5 linked regions of the Oryzias latipes genome follow. The protein of the gene in region 5 binds, or shares a complex with, the protein of the main gene of each other region. Links are inferred from orthologs where the notes say so. Each region holds a gene or a part of one and is shown on either strand. Other genes may lie near its edges.

The links. The genes of interacting proteins can lie anywhere in the genome.
Region 1: stx5 (region 5) and syntaxin-4 share a complex: the UniProt entries of both Homo sapiens proteins name them as parts of the SNARE complex. The link is inferred for Oryzias latipes from reciprocal best matches to the Homo sapiens genes STX5 and STX4.
Region 2: stx5 (region 5) and stx7 share a complex: the UniProt entries of both Homo sapiens proteins name them as parts of the SNARE complex. The link is inferred for Oryzias latipes from reciprocal best matches to the Homo sapiens genes STX5 and STX7.
Region 3: stx5 (region 5) and vamp7 share a complex: the UniProt entries of both Homo sapiens proteins name them as parts of the SNARE complex. The link is inferred for Oryzias latipes from reciprocal best matches to the Homo sapiens genes STX5 and VAMP7.
Region 4: stx5 (region 5) and bet1l share a complex: the UniProt entries of both Homo sapiens proteins name them as parts of the SNARE complex. The link is inferred for Oryzias latipes from reciprocal best matches to the Homo sapiens genes STX5 and BET1L.

Annotation. Positions count from the first base shown.
Region 1 is NC_019877.2:19,255,879-19,259,993, forward strand, and holds the start of syntaxin-4, read right to left. Parts: upstream 2,801-4,115; 5' UTR 2,639-2,800; coding exon 2,609-2,638; intron 2,273-2,608; coding exon 2,165-2,272; intron 799-2,164; coding exon 699-798; intron 1-698. UniProt on the Homo sapiens protein: Plasma membrane t-SNARE that mediates docking of transport vesicles. Necessary for the translocation of SLC2A4 from intracellular vesicles to the plasma membrane.
Region 2 is NC_019882.2:21,987,155-21,991,452, forward strand, and holds the start of stx7 (syntaxin-7), read left to right. Parts: upstream 1-1,498; 5' UTR 1,499-1,513; coding exon 1,514-1,658; intron 1,659-2,717; coding exon 2,718-2,810; intron 2,811-2,912; coding exon 2,913-2,982; intron 2,983-3,501; coding exon 3,502-3,592; intron 3,593-3,679; coding exon 3,680-3,817; intron 3,818-4,298. UniProt on the Homo sapiens protein: May be involved in protein trafficking from the plasma membrane to the early endosome (EE) as well as in homotypic fusion of endocytic organelles. Mediates the endocytic trafficking from early endosomes to late endosomes and lysosomes.
Region 3 is NC_019868.2:26,863,141-26,867,394, forward strand, and holds the start of vamp7 (vesicle-associated membrane protein 7), read right to left. Parts: upstream 2,801-4,254; 5' UTR 2,581-2,800; intron 2,186-2,580; 5' UTR 2,151-2,185; coding exon 2,005-2,150; intron 1,898-2,004; coding exon 1,840-1,897; intron 1,715-1,839; coding exon 1,577-1,714; intron 1-1,576. Other genes in the region: DNA-directed RNA polymerases I and III subunit RPAC2, read left to right, coding at 3,264-3,302. UniProt on the Homo sapiens protein: Involved in the targeting and/or fusion of transport vesicles to their target membrane during transport of proteins from the early endosome to the lysosome. Required for heterotypic fusion of late endosomes with lysosomes and homotypic lysosomal fusion.
Region 4 is NC_019864.2:3,547,362-3,551,570, forward strand, and holds the start of bet1l (BET1-like protein), read left to right. Parts: upstream 1-1,409; 5' UTR 1,410-1,480; coding exon 1,481-1,499; intron 1,500-3,929; coding exon 3,930-4,015; intron 4,016-4,209. UniProt on the Homo sapiens protein: Vesicle SNARE required for targeting and fusion of retrograde transport vesicles with the Golgi complex. Required for the integrity of the Golgi complex.
Region 5 is NC_019868.2:11,883,330-11,888,277, reverse strand, and holds the start of stx5 (syntaxin-5), read right to left. Parts: upstream 3,177-4,948; 5' UTR 3,158-3,176; intron 1-3,157. UniProt on the Homo sapiens protein: Mediates endoplasmic reticulum to Golgi transport.

The DNA.
Region 1 (4,115 bases), on a different chromosome or scaffold from region 5:
CACATTTACCACAAAAAAAAAAGAAACAACAAAAAAGGAGAAGAGAAAGAAGAAGGGTGTGTTGAAAATGTCAAAATAATTGTCCTCTTTTTTATGATTTATTTTTGTCTTGATACTGTGAGTAAACGTTAGGATTTAAAGACAGAGAGAAGGGAGGAATTTATGTTTGTATTTCTTATTTCTTTCACAGCTCCAGCAGAGACATTTTGGACGGTACAAACAAGTTGTGGGCTCCTGCCATGTGTTTGGCCCAAAACAAACCAAAGTACAAGGAGATATTCATAAAAATGTTTTTAAAAAATTGTTTTTTATTATTATATTCCTTTCATTTTTGACCACCTTTGTGTGCTAAAGTATCTGCCACTGAGAAAAATCACTAAATCAGGAGTTGATTGATCAGCAGAGAAGCATCAGACACCCTCATGAAAGGAGCTCCCTTAATTGCATTTTGGAAGAAGACGACAAAGAAAAACATGTTCACTGCGATCCAATAGAGAAAACTAATCTGTAACATATTTGGTGCCCTCATTGAGCCTAAAAATCTGATTGGAAAGGCGCCCCCAACTAGCCCCGCCTTACTCTGGTGGGATCCCTGTGAAAAATCTGGAGAAACGTCGTTCTAATCCTAAAGTGCAACTACACTGATCCTCTGTTACAAAATGCAACACGAATTTATCAAATTCATAAAGTTGACGTACTCTCCTCTGGCAGCGCCACGCCCAGCACCGTCTTCTGTTTGTTCTCCAGCTCTGACACCATCCTCTTTAAGTTCTGCAACCCCTCGTGGATTTCTTGCACCTTAGAAAGAAGTTTGTAAAGTTTTAGGATTAACAGGCAAAATCATCTTCCCAGACAAACAGCTTTAACTGCAACTGTAACATCCTGACCTTTTTTGATCAGAAAACTTCAATTAATGGGTTGGGAAATGCAGTGTTTGTATAAAAAAAAAAGAAATCCAAGGAAATATTAGAACAAAGATCCCTCTGCTGACTCTTATTTTAGAATCTTCTCAAGGTTTATAGATCATAATGGATCCTTGACTTTAAATAAAATCCATAACTGCCTTGACTTTATGATTTCATCTCTCTTTACTTAGTTTATTTTGATTTCCTCACAAATGGTTTGGATTGAAAGACATGCTCAGAAACTTTTGCCATCTTGATGGTATCTGACTCCAGCCTCCCTCAAAGAAAAACATCTGAATTTTAAAAATATAAAGAAATTTGGAGAAAATAGAAACACCATTATTACAAACCAACACCTTTGAACATGTTTCATTTAACTGATACAAAAAGTATCCTAAGATTTTCTAATGTGAGAAAAAAGTCAGTTGGATAAACAACTGTGTGTTATTGTTGGTGTCCGTCTGACTCTTTCACTCAGCCAAACTAAAATAAAAACCTGAAAAGAGGATTTCTGTTGCTAAAGCCCTTTTATTGTTTGGGGGGGGGGAAATGCTTAGCATAGAAATTATTTTTTCCAAACAATTAAAGTTCAATCAAAACTTAAAAAACCTAAAAAGTTAAACCGTGATAATATATGGAAATGCTTCTCTTTACTTCTTTCTGTTTTAATGTTTCTCTTCTAGATCATTATAACTACAGTTTGCAACAAGTTGAACATCATGATCATAATTTATAGCAGCTTCTATGACACTTTATTTAAACTTTCTTTTCAGAGATTTTCAAAATAAAACATGGCATTTCTTTCCCCTCACTGTAAAAGTAATGCTGCTTTCGTGGACAGTTGGTAAACTGTAGCATCAAATAATAAGTGGAGGTCTTACACACTAAAGATGGCTACAATCAACTAAAATGTCAAAACTTTATGGACATCTGCATTTTTCCACTAAAAGTCTTTTATTTATATTGTTAAGTGCAGCCCTACATACAGGCCAGTGTTTGTTGTCCGTTAATGTTTCACTCATATTTAAAGCTTCATAGTTGACCTTTTATATTTATTTACTTTCCTTTTGTTCTGGGATTAGAGGAGAATTTAATGTCGGCAAAACAATTGTGTGTGTTACAGCTAAACCTTCAGCTCTGTCCTCTGTCTCATAAACATGAAGCAGAGGCCCATTGGAGGAGCATTTCCCAGGACATCCGGTATCTGATAATACTACAAATCATTTGGAGGAGCCCAGATCGAAAACTTGGATGATCACCTTTTTGAAAAAAGCCTCATTCTCCTTATCTTCCTTTGTTGAAGAGCTGCCAGGTTTGCTCATCAAAGCCGTTTTCTCCTCGTTCTCCTCATCTGAGGCCTCGGCTTTCTGCGGTGAGGTGGACAGAAACACACAAGAGGAGGATGAAACAGAGCTGTGTGAAGGTGCCGGTTCAGATCTGCAGCCGGGAGCCCTGCCCTTATCCCGGCCTGACAGCTTCCTTGGAGGAAGAACTCAAGCGGACGTTAGCAAAGCAATATCGCCACAAGTGCTTCCAAGCGTAGAAAATAAGGGGGGGGGGGGGGTATATTGTTTTGCTCTCATATGCGGGCTTACAGTTAATAAATAATCAGAGACCGAAGCATTTCAAAGTTCACTTAAACAATCAATACAGCTAGGTTAGCAAGCTAACGCTATTGCTAACACACCAACTTTAAAACTTACATTATCTAACTCTTTTGTTCGATCCCGCATTTTTGATGTCGATGTTCAGAGTTGGTGTCGGAAACGCTGCGAGCACGCGGCCGAGGAAGGACAACGGTTCCCAAGCAACAAAAGCTGCGGACTTTCCACTGCTGTCATTCAGCAAGTTTAACTCCAGAGCAACAGTTCTCACAGTTCTTCCTCTGCGGTTCAAACAAACAGAATTTAATCGATGGCGCCCCCTTGTGACAGACACCTTTACTACAGGCAACAAAACCTGCTTTGGTTTAATTCAATTGGAATAGCCAGAACCATACTATATTTGTACGACGGAGTATTAGAATTGACAGAGTATTACTATATTACTTATGATTATATACTATTATTTTATATTACTATTGACAATAAGAATAAATAGCAAATATGATTATGAAATTATAATATAAATATGAGAACGAAGTCGTAAAATTGTGGGGAAAAAGTCAACATTTACCAAAAATAAAGTTGAAAATGTATTATTTAAAAAGGAAAAAGTCATGTTTTTTTAAATTAAGGTTATAACTTCATGAAACTAAAGTTGTGCAATTACAAAAAAGAAAACAAAAAAGAAAAAATCATAATCAAAGTGATAGATATTCATCAAATTTCTCTGCAACATCATTTAAACAGGAACCATTTAATTGTCATAGTTGAAAATTTTTAAAAACTAAATTTAACACTTTACTTAAGAAAAAAAGCATGACATCTCTTTGAAAATTGCAAGTTTTTACAGTTTAAACATATGACTTTATTCTTGAAAATTGTAAAATTTCTTTTTGATAATTGCATGACGTTTTTGTAGTAATTGTTTTCTTAGTTCTTCTAAAATGTAAACTTTTTGTATTTTACACCTTTTTTCATATATAAATGTTAATTTTTCTGCTTTTATAGTGGCCATAATACTTTGTTGTTCATTTGACATATGAACAAAATAATATGAATCAAACATTTTGTCAAATTAAAAATTAAAACAAGAGTTAAAATAAGAGTGAACAGAGATAATACCCAGCAACAATCTCTCTCCACTCTTTCACATATTCTGTCGCCTCCTCTTTTATTAAGTTTTTTGGGAATTCCCTAAATTACACATGCGCTGAGCTCTAAGGAGTGGAAGACAGATTGAACACAACTGCAGCGCCATCAGAAAATATTAATTGCAACATGTCCATCTTATCACAGTCTCCCCACATCATCTTTGGACCTGCAAAGCCTTTTCTCACGGATAACTGACACAGAGCGTCCTTTGATTCCGGTCTTGACACAGATACCACATAGTTCTCATGCTGATCTTGGGAAGACGCTAAGATAGTCGGTTTCCTCCCAAGAGTTTCACCTTCACCTTCCTGTGAAACAGAACTTGGACACAAACACTTCTGCATGTATGATTATATTACCTATAGAGCTAGGTAATACATAAAAGCAAATATGAGATAACTTACCGGTATATACATTTTTCTAACACATATATTAAATCTTATTGCTTTACTTT
Region 2 (4,298 bases), on a different chromosome or scaffold from region 5:
AGCCCAGCCAGGACAGGGAGCTCATGAGCGCCCTTCCACATATTCCAGCTACAGAGCAAGAATGAGTCTGTAATACAACACAGTTGCATGTTGCTGTTGACGAATACAAATATGTCATTGATCTGCCAGTTTGGAAAAAGATAGTGCAAAGATATATATTCTATATGTGGATAAACACCTGCTGCCTCCTACAGACCTGCTGCTGCTTCCACGACGCTTCAGGTTCATGTCCTGCTTCCTCCTATGTCTGTGATCCAGATTTCCACTCCTCTACTGAGTGGAGACGAAGGGTCCAAAGGGGAGAGAACTGCAGGGGACCTCCACCTGAGGAAGACCTCCACCTGAAGAAGACCTCCACCTGAGGAAGGCCTCCACCTGAAGAAGACCTCCACCTGAGGAAGACCTCCTCCTGAAGAAGACCTCAACATGAGGAAGACCTCCACCTGAGGGATACCTCCTCCTGAAGAAGACCTCCACCTGAGGAAGACCTCCACCTGAGGAAAACCTCAACATGAGGAAGACCTCCACCTGAGGAAGACCTCCACCTGAGGAAAACCTCAACATGAGGAAGACCTCCACCTGAAGAAGACCTCAACATGAGGAAAACCTTAACATGAGGAAGACCTCCACCTCTGTCTCCTTTCCCCCCTCCTTCTCAAATATGTGGCCTTCAGACTCTGTCATATTTTTTGAATAAACATCATTTTGCTCCAGCGCGCTGAAACTATGTTTTAGTCCTTTATTGTTAATGTTATGACTTGTTTTTGTGGAGTTGACTCGTTTCCATCCTAAAGGACCGGGGCGCAGCAGAACCCTGAAGCCTTGTCTCCAGTCTTTGGTGGGAGTGTCCCCTGGCCCCTGCGGCTCCTGCGGCTCTTGGCTCCAGCGGGGCCGGGCCGTGCGCGTCATGTGACCGGGGAGTGGCTGCGAGTCAGGAAACGGCGCAGCTCCAAGTCTCAGCGCAGGTAAAGTCCAAACGATCCCAGAAACGAACCGAACCGTTCTAGAGCAGGTTTTGGTCTCGATCCAAAATCCTACCGCGGGTTTCGGAGCGCTTCACTTTCTGAGGACAAACGGCGAGATGTCCCGAACCGGGCTGGGGGCGGGTGGGGGGGCAGTTGTGTAGAGACCGGTAGTTTCATGAGCTAAACGTCACGTTGACGCTTAAAGTTCGGGGTTTTATAAACAGAAACTCCGGGAGAGAGCAGCCGTCACGGAAGGACACAGACCGTGGTGTTCCGAGAAAGTCCTCTGATTTCCGCATTTGCGGCTGCTGGAAAGACTGCAGCCCCACCGACCGACCGCTGCAGGCGGCAGGCTGCCCCGTAACGCACGGCGGAGGGGGTCTTGACGGGGTCCTAAAAACGCGTCATCATAGCAGACGCTGGAGCGCCGCTGGTCCCGGAAACGCGCGTGAGCAACTGCCTGACCCGCGTCAACGCCCCCCCCCCCCCCCCCCAACTGGCCCCCGATCAGAGCAGACTGGGCATGAGCCCACGTTGGTCCAGCATGGATGGGGGTCAGGGGTCAGCTGGGCTGGTGTTTGCTGCAGCAGCTCTTTGGTTCTGACCTTCAGCGTTTCAGAGTTTCAGGATTTGTTCTGAGAGGAAAAGCAACTTTCCTTCTTTGTGTTTTCACTGCCTCCATCACTCAAAGCTGTGAGGAAGTTTCCATCATCTCCATTTGTTATCAAAACGTTGGTTTGACCTCAGACTGTTGATGCTTATGTCAGACAAACGCTGATGATGGTGTAGTTTTCCCTCCTGATCCTGTTGGTACAGAGTAAGCCCACCTTCACTTCCCGTCATCCATAGCTTTAGCGGCACCACAAGAATGCTGCTCAATATTGGAGCTGTCCATGGATCTATTTGTCTGCAGGTGGGGGCATCAGAATGGAGCAGGGCAGGGACACTTTGGCCTGGCCAGAGTATTTTCTACATCACTAGTCTTCATCACAGTCTTTTTTTGTCTGCTCCTGATTGACAACAGTTTTGGGTTTGGGTTTTGCCAGCACCCGTCCTGCTAGTTAAAAACCTACTCCAATGAAAATGGTGTTTGTGGTGTTTTTACATGTTCTTGTAGCATTTTCTAATGATGGAGGACATACATATATATAGAAAATCAAGCTTAAAACTGCATTTCTGAGTATTTCTTTCTTCAAATCGTTGTGAATCAGGAGCAGAAGAAAAAATGCTGTTTGAAAAACCTCTTAGTTGTTACGTAAACTACAATCAGCAGGTCACCAGCTCCCTGCTCTGCTCTATTCTGATCTGTCAGACAAACAGATCCGTGAACGTCTTTGTCTTCCTGGTCTGACCTGGAATCTGGATCAGAACTGGACGGATGATAGATCTGATGTTGATCACCATTTTTGTTGCATCACTAATATTAGCTTGAGGTTGTGAGGGGCTGTAAGCTAGCAGGGGAGAGTTGTAAAAAGATGGATGACGGGAAGGGGGGGTGTTGTGCTTTTCGCCAACAGTCCCGCCCACACCTTAGAGGGGAATTTCTAATGAATTACTCCCAGTCCGCAGAAACTATGTCCTAGAAAACGACAACGTTTTCTGATTTAGTCTAAAAACAGCAGAATCGTAGTGAAAAGACCGCTGGGAACACTTTGACAATAGATCATAAGATGATGGTTGGGGGACTTTAAAGGTTAAACATGCAGTTTGTATGAAAGCAAGACATAAATGTGTCTTTCTGTGTGAACTCAGCTCTCATCATGGCCTACCAGGCTGGGATTCAACGGGAGCCCGCCGCTTTGGTTCAGAACATCAGCTCCAACATCCAGAGGATCACACTACTGAGTAATGCACACACACACACACACACACACACCCACACAGACCTGTGCACATGCTGAACCCCACTGGACCCCCAGCATCCTCACTCATGGATCTGTGTTCCAGCCTCAGAGCTGCAGAGGGCCGTGACCCTGCTGGGGACGGAGCAGGACAGCAGCCAGCTCAGACAGACGCTGTGAGTTCTGACCGCCTGCTTGATCACACATGCAGCCAAATGAGTTCAAACCGACAGCCGGCCTGTCTGTGGACGGTCACCATGCACACACACACATACGTTTCCCTTGTTCCTTCAGTCAGTTCATTTGTAAAGACTCCTGAATGGCAGGAAGCAGACTGTCTTTATTATTTTAGCATCTAATTCATTCATCAAAACAGAAAGATAACTTTAAAAAGATGTTCTAAACACATACATGTTCATATACACACATTGGAGATGCAGGTTGTTACTAAAGTAAGTTCTATTCTTATAACAGTGTTTTACTTGAATGGGATCATTTGTCCCTGTTTTAAAACAGTTCCATTCAGTGGGTTTAAGGTTCAAAAAGTAGTTTTCAACCTTTAGAATAGTTTTTTTTTACTCTGTACTCAGCTAGCTCCTGAAACCCGAGCATTTTCCACGTCAGGAGTAATGGATTTGTAAGATTTCTGTTTCCTCGAGTGAAACGTTTCACAGATGCTTCCCTCTGGTTCTCAGTCAGCAGAAACAGCAGCAGGGGAACCAGCTGGCCAAGGAGACCGACCAGCTGATCAAGGCCTTCACCGCCCTCCCCGTCGGTCCCGATCAGGTACGAGGCCCCTTCGTCCCACGCACCGATCACATCGAACCCGGTCAGGAGTTTGTGGGAATTGATCAGCTGTGTTTGTGTTTTCAGAGGCAGAGGAAGCTGCAGAAGGAGCGTTTGCTCAATGACTTCTCTGCTGCGTTGAACAGTTTCCAGAAGACCCAACGGCAGGCCGCCGACAAGGAGCGGGAGTTCGTGGCCCGAGTCCGAGCTGGCTCCAGGCTGTCGGTTCGTATTCGCCTTCGTCATTTCTGGGAGTGCTGTGAGCGAGAGCTTTCCGTGCACGCTCACCTCATACTCACACGTTCCACAACCAGGACCATCCGGGTTCTTTCTGAACAACACTGCCATGGTTTCCCGGTTTCAGCTGTTCTGGGCCATAATGTACCATCTGCTCAGAGTTTGGCTGAACGTTCAGACGTAGACAGGTTATTCAGATGAAACCCTCCAGCTGAGGAAATGAGAAAAGCTTCTTCCAGTGACAGTGTGTCTGGGTTTATAGGCGTGTTCAGGATGGAGTGGGTGAGTGTGAGCGCTGTGAGGAAATGTTTCAGATGGTCAGGTGAGCAGATGCACCTGTCCCAGCCTGTTCCAGACCCAGCATGAGCCTTCCGCTGGTTGGGGGGCAGATCTCTTTATGTTGATTCATTGATGGTTGTGGTTCTTGCTGGCATTCAAACATCTCCATAAAGTAAGAACAGGCATTGTC
Region 3 (4,254 bases), about 15 Mb from region 5:
CCTCATAAGATGTGTCTGAGATTATTCTCTGTAATATTTACAGAGATATTTTGCCACAAGCCACTTTGTAAAAAGATCTGTGGCTGTTAGAATGAACCTGCTGCTCCACACGAGTGAACCGTGTCTCTGAGCAGAGCAGCTGGAGTCTCGTAGCTTCGTGTTCGCAGGCTGGGAAGCTGCTTTGTTATAGTGTGCGGTCCGGAGAAGAGTTCAGAACGCAGTCTGTTCAGCTGCAATGCAGTTAATAATAATAATATTTAGGGCTACATGTCATGAGGAAAACTTAATATTGCGGTGACGATGTAACTTGGGGTGTAGGAAAACAACCAAAAACATCATTTCTATTTCACTGCAACAGTTTAAAAACTGCATTGCAAATGACCAACATCTACATAGGAGACGAACATCTAACACAAAAGGGCTCCATCCGATTGGTCAAAAACATAAAAGGGATTATTTTTGCTTCGTTAAATACTGCCATCAGATTGTTTTAGCATACTTAAGGTAACCATTTATTGCGATCTTCGCCGTCTTTTGCAATATGCATATTGCACAGCTTGATATTGCGATAACGATAAATTTGCGATATATTGTGCAGGCCTAATCATAATATTACCAAAAGCACGTTTAGAAGATAATCTTTCTCTGTGTCGGAGCTCTGTATGTTTACAACGGACCGCATAATATCTTCTTCTATGTTAGTATCGTAATTTATCCAGACCAATCACTATCTGATATTGCGATGACGATATAACTTGTGGTGTATGAACAAAGAGCAAAACAACCTAAAACATCATTTCTATTTCACTGCAACAGTTTAAAAACTGCACGTGATCGGACCAACAGACATCCAATCACATAATGTGACGTCAGCACTCTTCGAAGGACCCCGAACGGTTATTGCAGGCCGAATGGTTATGGTACCTACACCCCACAGGAACACTGAAAATCTGCACTCATTTTTCCTTTAAAAACAAAAAAAAACTTTTTACTCCTTCGACCATATCACTTCGATATTTGGTGGAAAATAAAGGACAATGTTTTTTTTAACACTAACACTGGAAAACCCTTGCTAATAATACATTAGAGGTTCAGATATTTGTCTGTCCTCAAATACCAAACATCCCTAAAACAGCACTTCCATGAAAATTCTTAATAAAGACAGATAATTGTATCTCTATGCTGCACAGGTCAGGAAAATGTTCAGATATAATTCAAATGATACAGATTCAAATGCAGCAGACAAAGGTTGACTTTAAAACGTACTTAAAATGCCAGAGTGGTCATGTGACCATCTGCTGATCTTTTTGTACATGCCACGATTGTAGAGAAGGAAGTTGAAACCCATTTGTCAATATGTTGACTATACAAAGCTGAAATTGACATGAAAAGGGTTTTTTTTAAAGAAAAAGGACGTTTTTAACTACTCTGGGGGAAAAACGAAACTAAAACCAAAAGAAATAGGAAAAAAAATAGAAGAAGTTTGCTTTTCTGGTTATGACTAAAGCAAAAGTCTTTTTCTTCTTCTAAAAAAAGTCATATGGCATTCTAAGGAAATCTGTCACGCTCAACCCACCATCTGAGCCGCCAGCGTTGAGGAGAATTCACTGTTCATGGCGTAGGGAAGGGCGGTTTGAGCTCTGGAGCCATACGTCGTCTGGAAGCGCTTCTTGACTTCGCCAAGAAAGGTAAATGCACGAGATCTTTCAAAGTCCTTTAACAGAAAACATTCAATCACGATAAATGCAACTACACGTATTTAAAGCTTTGTGCCAGTGTCACATCCTTCCCAACTATTGCTGAACATCAAAACAAAATAAAAAGTCCAAAGATACTCACATCATCAGTGATGCACAAGTATATGATTCTGTCATGGCAGATGTAATGAAAGAGGTAACTGAAAACAAAATAGAAACACCATCAGTTACACGTTCCCAGAAACTAGCCCTGATTGTGGGCAAAATAATGACAATTATTGAGATGAAGGAGCAAACTGGACCGTACCTGCCGTGGCTGTAGGTCAGTTTGTTATTCTCTGAGGGGATTTTGGCTAAAATTTGTTCTGTGACTTCCAGGAAGTTGCCCCCGCACCAAGCATGTTTGGCCAAAATCGTGGTTCCACGAGCCACCACAGCAAACAGGATTGCCATGGTAACACAGCTGGGTTCTCCGCTACGTTAGTTTTCTGTCAAATAAACAAGGAAAGGAATAAGCTTTTTGTTGTTGTTGTTTTTTGGTAGGTGGAGCTCAGGTAAAACAAAAATGCCCCCACCCGCCTTCCCTCCCTCCCACCGGAATTCCGTTAAGATGAGTTAGAAAGAAAAGGAAAAAAATTGTGTATTGTAGACAAAAAAATACTAAAAACGATTACACCCAACATCCCTATGCGTGTTATTGTGGTATAAATCATTGGGAAAAACAAAGACTGATTCGGCAGCAAGCTAGCGTAGTAAGTAATGTTGAAATAAACACGGAACAGTGGTGGCGTCAACGAAAAGACCAAAATGTTAATCAAAGTGTCAGTTCAAGTTTTTGTTTGTAAGTTAAACGTTGTTGCAAAAAAACAAAACAAAACGATACCTTAACGTGTCAGCGCCACTCAAACGAGCTAATTATTTTCCCACATTTATAATGTGTCAGCTGCTAGCAAGCTAGCTAATCCCTTTCGAGTGACTTCTGCTTTGCGGATCCTTTGGACCGGAAGCACACACTGACCAACGCTGGGTAATGTAGTTCTTTTTTGCAATTTCTTTCACAGTGAATGCTGCTCTTCTACCATTCTGAACTACACTTCCCTAAACTACAAATGACGATGTGTCTTCGTCATATGTTTTCATGCGTAAGAGCAACTGTTTAGGAATTCCCCTCAGTTTAGCCTTAAAGGCTACGATTACACGCTAAATTGAATGCATTTGCAAATTAAATGTTAAGGAATGTTACTTTTTAGCGCAGTGAAAGGTAGTACTTCATCACCAACCTAATTTAAGTTCGATCCGTTTATCTTTTCTTAATTGCATGTTTTGTATGTCTATGTTTAACAAAATTTATTTGTGTCATCACTTCAAATCGACATATCTCTTTATGGCAGACTAAATAAAACATTTATTCTTAGGGTTGTAGTCGGAATAAATGTCCAACCAAGCGGGTTCAGTTATTAATGAATAATAACAGCATGGCGACACTTTCATTTTCAGCCTGTAAGTCAAAAATAAAGGGGAAGAAACACAAAGCTCATACTTTGCAGTGCGAGCGACGTGAAAAGCATGGCCGGGGATGGCGAGAAGAAACCCAAACTGGAAATGGTAAAATAAGAAAATGTCGTTTTGTTTGATCAGTTATTTAGATACTTAACTGTATATTGGTTAAAGTTTGTGTAGGTGAAATATATAATAACACATCGAAGAAGCTAATGCTAGCTTTCTCCACCGCCCGGCTGCAGACTTCACGTGGAAGATGAAGTGTCTGTTCATAAGAAAATCCCTTTTACTCGTATATAAACATTTTTTGTTAATTTATATTACTTAAAAAGAAACCAAAATCATGTTTTATTTGATAAAACTGAGCTTATATTTTAGTGTGTTACTACATGTCATTGTTTACTTGGTCAAAATCCTGCGATGTCTTTTATCCCCACTAGGGGGCAGTATTTTAAAACAAGCAGTGTTTACTTAAGATTTGTGAACTAAAATGTACTTAAACGTTAAAAATATATATATTATAGTCCCACAAGTCCCTACTAAACAACTGATTTTTGTTTTTTGTAATTTATATTAAAATAAAAAAGTTAAACGTCCATAGTCTCAAAGATCACTAAAACAGAGAAACAATATTCATGGAGTACAAATTAATGTATGTAAACACTGTTGTAGGAGGAATATGGCTCTCAATTGTATTTTTTTCAGCAACAAACCCACTAAAATGTTTCAAGATTCACTTATAGTGGTCTACAGAAGGATGATAATAATAAGCGACAGCTCAAAAACAAGGGTAAAAACCTCTAAAAGAACAGCACCAGCAAAAATAAAGCCACAAATCCCGACTACAACCCAACAGGAGCCACAAAGTCCTACTCCACCTTTTAGTAAAATAGGACTCAGATTTGTGTATTTGTGGTATTTCTACTGTTGTGTTAAACCCTAATGAATTTTTTCGGGGCATGAATAAAAAACATAAGGACAAATGAGCCTCTTTTTCTAAATACAAAATATTTTACACCCTTTGACAGAGGTTCACATGACGTCCTTTCAAAATAAA
Region 4 (4,209 bases), on a different chromosome or scaffold from region 5:
CAAGGCAGCAGGGGCAGACGTGACCCCCCAGACACCCACACAGAGAAGCAGATCGAAGGGGTCTGCCCCCCTAGACAAACGGCACCAGCCACCCAGTCCAGAGGTAGCACAAGGTCCAGCGCAAGGTCACACCCACCTGAGAGTTCCCACAGCCGCAGATCAGGCGTCCACCAACACCCAGGCGTCTGCATCCCCCAAGAAACACTCATGTCACAGCCTAGCCAACTACCTCCCTGCCCTGTGGGGAGTCCAGCACAGATCCAGGCAGGAAGAGGGCTCCAGCGAGAGACAAGGATCCCTGCGAAAAATGGTTAGCATGGACCGACCAGGCTCTCTGGTGTTGATGATGATGAGGAGTTACATAGCAAGAATGCACGGACCAGAACCAGAACCAGGGACACAAACACCACCAGGCTCAGATGATGCTAGAAATCTCAAGGATCCCCCTCCCTATATGTGGAGAGAGGATTGCCGGGTCAATGAAGCCAATACCCAAAGAACACAACCAGCACGGCTGAGCCGCTGACACATGATTTCTGTGAGGACTCTCATTCATACAGGAGAGTTCCAGAGCAGAACAGTTTCCAGAAAACAAGGGTCATCCAGACCCAAGACATTTTGTCAATACTGTAAACACAACAACACAAAACACTTCAATTAGGAAAAAGCACAAGCTTGATTAAAAAGGTGTGAACGAGGTATTTCTGCTCATTGTTTTTCAAAAGTGTGATTTGTAAACAAAAATGTTATTCAAGAACTGAAGAATGCAGTCAATTTAAAACGAAACATAGCAAATTAAATTAAAAAAAGAACAGATTTAATCAATAGAAACAAGGGCCTTAGCTTAAGCGTAAACAGTTCAAGAGTGATGTGTTTAGAAATCTTTTTTTTAATCAAATACTTCTTTTTTAAAATAACTATTCCTTCCTTGTGACCTAGATTTGACTAAAATTCACTTTAGAGTCTATAGTTTTAATTTGTTACCTTCTCGCAATAGAAAATAAAATAGTTATTTACCAGAGCAAACTCTTCGCAAAAAGTAGTGTATTTAAGTGTACTACAAGTATACTTAGTCTACACTAAAAGGTAGGCAGTATACTTTAAACTTTTATATCCATGCATTGTAGACTTAAAATGTTCACATTTCTTCAGAAGGACTCAGTTAGTATACTTCTTACACTACATGTACATGGTCTACAGTACACTTGCAATACTCATACTCAAGTAACAAAAACTTCAAGTAATTTTTACTAAAGGAACTTTGAATTGTTCTATAGAGCGTAAGAAAGAAACAAAAAATGAATCTTAAGAAATTATATAAATTGTGTTTTTCATCCCGATGAAAGCAGAGAACATTAATAAATTATGCGGTTCTGGATTAAACTTTCATTTCAACCTGTTCCGTTTCCTTCAGGATCAGAACTGATAACGTGTCGTAGTCACGTGTTCCGGGCAGCTGACTGTGACGTCACAAAGCAAGATGGCGAGCTGGGACAGAGGTAGGAAACCGAACACGTATTCACTTTTTAATATTTGTTCATCTTCGGTGTTTTAATCAGGATAAGACGAGTCCCGTAGATCGGAGGGAGTATTTAAAGCGAAATAAAGTCGGATTAGATTACGACCGGAAATGTGGAGCGTCTGACTCTGAGCTAACAGTAGTTTAGTTAGCTGTTGACAAGTCAGTGTAGCTATCATGAAGTGAACTAACTTTGAGCTGTCAACAAATTCGTTTATTTACATAAAACCACCTTAAGTTCTGAGGGATTTTTTTTCAAATAAATGTTCAAGTTTCACTCTATTTTTTCATCTTTTGGTTCCTATTTAGATAAACAAATTTCCTTTTTTTCGGAATCCGTGTAATTAGTAATACTATGGTCGGAAATGACATTACAATCTCTCATGTCCGTCGGTAACTTTGGTTTAACCTGAAATTCTGTGGTTCTGGTTCTCATTCGAGTTTCTGCTCAGTATTTAAAGACCCACTCCCATGAAAATTGTGTTTTTAACTTGTTCTTGTGCCATTGTTTCTCATTATGGAGAAAAGTAAGTAAGCTTAAAATTGCATTTCTGAGTTTCTTTATTCAAACTATTGTTAATCTGGAACAGACGGAAAATTGCAGTTTGAAAAAACTTGTAGTTGTGACGTAGGAGCTACAATCGGCGAGCCACAAGCTTCCTGCTCCGCTCCATTCTGATTCATCCCCTGTCAGTCAAATGGATCCATCTTCTGTCTTTGTTTTCCTTCTCTGAGCTGGACTCTGGATCTAAGCTGTAGGTGGTGTAGGTACCATAACCGCTACCACACTAGTCCCTGGAATCCACAGATGCATATGGGCCAGTTTGGAGAGCAGAGGGAACACATGCTGTTGAGATTTCCACCACAGCAGTGGATCTTCAGTGAGAGGCAGAGAAGAGGCGTCTTGATATTGTTTGACCTCTTTTTCTGCGAGGCTGCTGCTGTAGAGGCATAAGAGGTCTTCTTGAAGGTTTGACCCAGAAGATCTACTCGTGCAGACTTTCTTTTCTTGGTGGTGCTGGTGTCGCTGCTGGAATGTGGCGGCTCCTCATCCTCCAAATCCTCCTGTAGGTCATCACAAGACACTGGATCCCCTTCCTTTAAAGCTGCTTTTGACTTCAGTTTTGCAGACGTGTCTTGCAGAAACAAAAGAGATTTAAATCTAGGGTCTAGGGCTGAGGACATGCGTAGGAGATCTTTTTCCACCTCAGACTGATATCTCTTTGAAAGGTCTTGATCTCTCGAACCAGAGGAGAATCTTCTTCAGTGCTAGTTGAGTTGTACAGCAGTTTGGCATGAAGAGGAGCAATCATTGAAATGGTTGGATTCTTTTCCACAAGCATTGGTTTAAGTGCTTTAACCATCTCTTCAGCGCTTGAAATGTCATCCTCTGTCAATGCACAGTCTGTCACATTCTTTCTAACCTTGAGAAAAGAAAAAGAAATTCAAATTTTAGTGCTCTCAAGAAATGTATATTTTATCATTTATATTTAACCAATTATGCTTTCTAACTATAATCTTAATGTGTATTAGCAATATATATACATGCCAAGTAAATTTTTTAAGTGTAATGTAATTTACCGTATCCTCAGTCGAAAGGCCCCCGAACGGTTATTGCAGGCGAACGGTTACGGTACCTACACCAGATAGCTCTGATATTGCTCACCATTTTTGTTGCACTGCTAATATTAGTTTGGGGTTCTGAGCGGCTGTACGCTAGCAGTAGAGAATGTAATCACAGGGATCATAGGAAATGAGGACGGGCTTTCTCTGCACCAACAGTTCTGCCCACAACTCAGAGGTGAAGTTCTGATGAACTCCTACCGCTCTGCAGGAACTATGTCCTAGAAAACAACACAGTTATTTAGATTTGGGCTAAAAACATCATCATCATCATCATAAATAAAAAGACCATTTCTGGCTGCTGGTACCATTACAGAGAGTAAAAAGGTCCTCGGAAGTGACTCCTCCCTGAAAGTACACAGGCTCCTCGGCAGTACTGCAGGTACAGTCAGTACAGTCAGTACAGCCTTTCTGCAGGCACACTTCAGTCCAGTTTTTATGAAGGTGTTAGTTATATTCCCCCCTAAATATTCCTGGCTTGGGTGTTCAGTGATGATGGAGCAGCAGGCCGATATCTCATGAGTGAACTATCACCTTTTCTTTGGTTTCCTCCAGGTCATGGTACTTCCTACAGTCTCATCAGTAAATCTGTGATCAAAGATCTTAACATAGCATTCAAAAGTGCAGCTAGAATGAAAGCAAAACTTGAGGTCTGTTTTAAACCCATTCACGTGTAGCTTCTTTTAAATTGGGCTTTATTGACAAAAGTTTTTAATGTGTATGTCTGATTAAATGTAAAACCTTTGGCTAAAACAAATCACTTTTAATTCATCTTGTATGTTTTCAGATCATGACTCAGTGGATGACATGCTGGATGCTAAAAACAAACGTTTGGCTGAGAACCTGGCCACCAAAGTCTCCAGACTGAAATCTGTGAGTCAAACTAGAACATTTCTGCAGATTCCTGAAGATGATGTACTTTTATTTCTCTATTTGTAGCTTGAATGGAAGCAGAGAGACGAATACGTTTATACATTTATGCTTCTGTCAGACCTTACAGGATTTCGCAATGTTGCCATTGCACCAATTCACGGCAGTTTAACCAAATCCCACAACATTTTCTCGTG
Region 5 (4,948 bases):
CCACTGACTGTGTGTGCGCTGCCTTGTCTTGTGTGTGTGTGTGCGCGCGCGGCGCGTGCTGTCTGAAAAACAGCCCCGCCCCCGCTTCAACGAGAATACCAAAATTAATATCATAATTAATTAACGGAAAATTGACTGACTTGGTGAGTTAAATATGGCAGATAACACTTGTGGGACACAAAAAAGAAAAGAAAAAGTAACTTCTCCAGTACCGATAGCAGAACCGTTCAGGTCAGATCTTAACGATACTGCGGTCTTGAACAATGTGGCCCCGGGGCTGGTTCAGTACCGGGGCACGGTACCCATCCCTAGAACCAACCTCCTGGTGAACTCAGATGTTAACCAACTGTTTCTTGATTGAAGTTCCAGTTTAAACATAGTTTTTTTTTTTTTACTTTGCTGTATGTAGCTAAAACAATTTTATTTCTGCAAAGCATTTTTAATTTCCCTTGTTTGCATAAAACGATATGCAAATGAAATTGCCTTGCTTTACATGTGTTGTATAAGGCCTAAGTCATGTTTTTGTGGCATTTTTCTAATGCTGAAGAACATATCAAAAGAAAATTCTGCTTAAAATCGCATTTTTGAGTACTTCTTAATTCAAATGTGAACCAGGAGGTGATGAAAACATACCACTGGAAAAAGCTTGTAGTTGTGCTACAATCAGCAGGCCACAAGCTTCCAGCTCTGGTCCATTCTGATGCGTCCACTTGCAGATAACTATATACAAGTGCGTCTTTGGCTTCCTCAACTGAGCTGACATCTGGCTCTGCAGAAACCATGTTCCAGAAAACAACGTTGGTTTTTTTGGGGGCTAAAAACGGCATAATCATAATTAAAATACCACTGGGAACCCTTTTACAATAGATCAAAAGATGATTGGAGTGGGACTTTAAAAGTGCAGAAAATGTAAACAACACAAAGAACCAAGTTATAAAAACATTCATTATCTTAATGGATCAAAATTATTTTGGTCCTCTCCTTGGTATTCTTCAGACATGACTTGAAGTTCAACACGTGTTCTCAAATACATGTTATGACATGTTTGTGATTTCTATATACTTTTTAGGCCTTTAAAATAGCATTAAAATAAACAATAAAACATATAAATAAAACAATAAAAAATAATAGGGACCCAGTTCACTTTACTTATTTCGAGTTAAGAAAGCATTGAGTTAAGGGACACGTTTCAAACGTTATGTTTATCCATTTCTTTGTAACGGTCCAATAAGTAGTGGGGCCTAAACACAAGCTTTGTTTTTGTATTTTTTCTAAGACGTTTATAAAAAAATAGGTGTCATATTTATTACTAATACGTTGGTGGTGCTGGCGTAGTTGTTGCCATTCTCATCTCACAGGGAGAAGGCTCTGGGTCAAAACCCTGCTGCACCTTTTTGTGTGGAGTGTGCATGTTCTCCTCGTTTATGCGTAGGTTTCTTCTGATTTCTTCCCACAGTTTAAAGTCATGCTTCGTAGGTCAATTGGTGGTTATTAATAGTCCCTTGGGTGTGAACGTTTGTAGTTGTTTGTCTCCGTGTTGCCCTGCTATGGACTGGAAAACTGTCCAGGATGTACTCTACCTTCCCTCCTCAGTGGTTGGGTAGACGATGGCATTGAACAGGAATAAGTGGATTTAGAGACTAATTGGCTATATTTGGTAATTTTAGTAATCTCAGCAATTTCTGAGATGCATCCTGGCAGTAGAATGTGTGTATAAGTTTTACATATTAAATGAAGTTCCAATAAGTATGTCAAGGATGCATTTACAAAAAGTTGTAAATATGACTTCATGTTTTTGTTCTTATGCCCTTTCAAACAAAATGTCTTTCTAATTGGCAAAACACTGATAATGAAATAAAAATAAGAAATATAAAAGCAAACCTCATGTACCAATGACATGAAATTTTATAATTGAAAGACCCATTTTGAATCTTTCCCAGCAAAAAGACAGAACAGACATTTGGACAAGGACAGGATGGGCTGCTTCCTCAGGTGATTCAACACTCAGGTACAGCATGGAAAGAGAAAGATACGATCTTGCTGCTCTCTGATGTTCTCAACCTCCTGCTGGTACCTGCATCCTTTTTCTGACAGGCCCAAGCATGCTCAGACCACAAGTATGCCTCCAGCCCCAGATCCCCAGCCTTCCACCCGTCTGAACCCTGTACCGTCGTACCTTCCCTTATCCGTTCCATCATATGTCACACCTTTCTTTAAACCACTCAGAAAATCTCCCTTTGTGTGCTTTTTGGATTGTTTTATGGTATTAAATAGTATATATGTCAATAATATGTCAGAAAAAATGATTGAGCCTAACTTTTATATCAGTATTCGTCCAATAATTATATAGTAGTCAGTTGTGCTTCACATTAAAGACCCACTCCAATAAAAATCCTGATTTGGGTGTTTTTAACATGTTCTTGTGGCGTTTTTTTGACATCTATGAAGAAAATTAAGATCAAAACTGCATTTCTGAGTGTTTCTTTATTCAAATCGTTATGAATCAGGAGCAGATAAAACAAATGCTGTTGGAAAAAGCTTGAAGCAGTGACATAGGTGCTACAATTGGCAGGCCACAAGCTCTGAGCTCCTCTCTATTCTGATGCATCCACTTGTAGACGACTAGATCTATTTCCGCCTTCATTTTCCTTGTATGAGCTGAGATCTGGCTCAAAACTGTACGGCAGGATAGTTTCGATATTGCTCGCCATTTTTGTTGCATCTGTAATGTTAGGTTGGGGTTCTGAGGGGCTGTAGGCTAGTGGGAGAGAGTGTAAACAAAGGGATGATGTCAGGGCAGGCTTACTTCATGCCAACAGTCCTGCCAAAAGCTCAGAGGTGAATTTTAGTGAACTCCTTGTCATGGGGCCTCTGTCAGCTATCTTCCCCCTCCCCTCTCTGCTTGGCCACTGATTCGTCCCAGCTGCGTTCACTCATCTCATCAACCTGCCAGACCTACTTAAGGAGCGCCAGGACCAGAATTCAACGCTAGTTCGTTGCCCCTGATGGTGCTTGTCTGGTCTCTTTCAAGTTTTCCTGTTACGTATCTTTACCCTCGTCTAAACTCTAGTCTTTCTATGTCCAGGACCTACATATCCCACGAGTGGACGCCAGCTTCAGCTTCAGCCCAAGCGGAGTTATCCCCGGAGTTACCTACCTCCTCTCAACGCTCCATACATCAGGCCTCAGCTCTGGCCTCAGCCGAACCTCCAGCCACGTCAAGATCCACCCTCTCATCTGGAGTTGCCGTTCCTGCCATTCCCCGCCACAACAGGACAAATTCATCCGCTGGAAAAATTAAATCTATTATTTACCTTCACTCACCTCCTGTCTTCCTTCTGGGTTTCAGCGTCTGGGTCTGTCTAGCTTTGACAAGTCATGACAGAACGAACAACTAGCCAAAACCCCGACCCAGCTGGCCCGGAAGATTTACAAAATATTGTCTCCCAACAAGGTCGGTTCCTGGAACTCCTCTCCAGTGCGGTCACCCGCGTCACTACAGTCCAAGAGGACACGATCTCTCGCATCAGAGGTATGAACCAAACGCTTTCCGAGCTAACCGAGCGACATGCTAACCCTGCTATAGGAGCTTCTACTCCGTCTTCCGGCAACAATGCAGCTTCCGCTTCCGGTCCTGTCAACTCACCCGAAAACTTCCGGTTACAGCCTGAACCGTTCCTAGGCAACGTAGAAGCCTGTGGCGGGTTCTTACTTCAATGCCAACTCATATTCCAGCAGGCTCCCAGGCATTATCACTCTGATATCAGTAAAATCACCCTTATAATAAATTTTCTCCGGAAGAAAGCTCTTCGGTGGGCTCAAGCCTTTGTTTCTGCTAACCCTATTAGTCACCTTCGCTATGAACACTTCCTAAACGAATTCCGTTTGATTTTTGACCAACCCCGTAAACGGGAAGAAGCCACACGTAAATTACTTAACCTGAAACAACACAACCGGACTGTTAGTGAGCACGTCATTGACTCCGCATTCTGGCGGTCGAAGCAGGCTGGCCAGATCTGGCTTTAAAGGGCATTTTTTATCAATCTTTGAATGAAGAAATTAAAGACCATCTCTGTACTCAGCCTGAAACTAACTCCTTTGAAGAGCTCGTTTCAGCAGCCCTCCGCTCGGACATCCGACTCACCGAGCGACGTCATGATCGCCAACAGACCCCGAAGAAAACCATCAGCGATCCGGCCCCTTCTACCATCACAGCCCAGTCGCCCCTCAGAATGGATTTTCTCGCAAGCTCCAAACCATCTGAGGGACCTATACAGAGATCATTCTAAACTATCTGCAGAAGAACGACAGAGGCGAAAAGAGGAGGGTTCATGTTTTTATTGTGGAGCCCATGGACATTTAGTTTCACAGTGCACTCTGCGTTTAAATTCCCAAAACCCCCCGCTGAGTGACAGGTCACGGGGGGGCAACCTCAGCACTCAGGAAAATCAAAGCTTCCTGTGCATTCCTGTCAGAATATGCTGTAAAACCCAAACTCATGCTTTCAGGGCACTTATAGATTCTGGAGCCGAACAGAGCCTAATTGATCATGGTCTGGTGTCTAAACTCGGTCTTCCCACAGAACCTCTGGAAGCTCCTGTAGAGGCCTCGGGCTTAGGAGGGCAGCACCTCTCCAGAATTACGCATAGAACCAAACCTGTTCAACTTCTCACCTCTGGCAACCACAGGGAAGTTATGCAATTTTTCATTACCCAGTCCACTCATACGCCCATAGTACTAGGCTACTCCTGGTTAAAGTTGCATAACCCACAATTTAATTGGAGTTTAGGACACATAACTAACTGGAGCCCCTATTGTTCTGCTAATTGTCTCTCGTCCGCCTTACCTTCGGCTCATCATCACACCACTGACTCTCCCAGTAACATTAATCTGGATAAGATCCCCTCCTGTTACCATGACCTACGTGATGTTTTTTGCAAATCTAAGG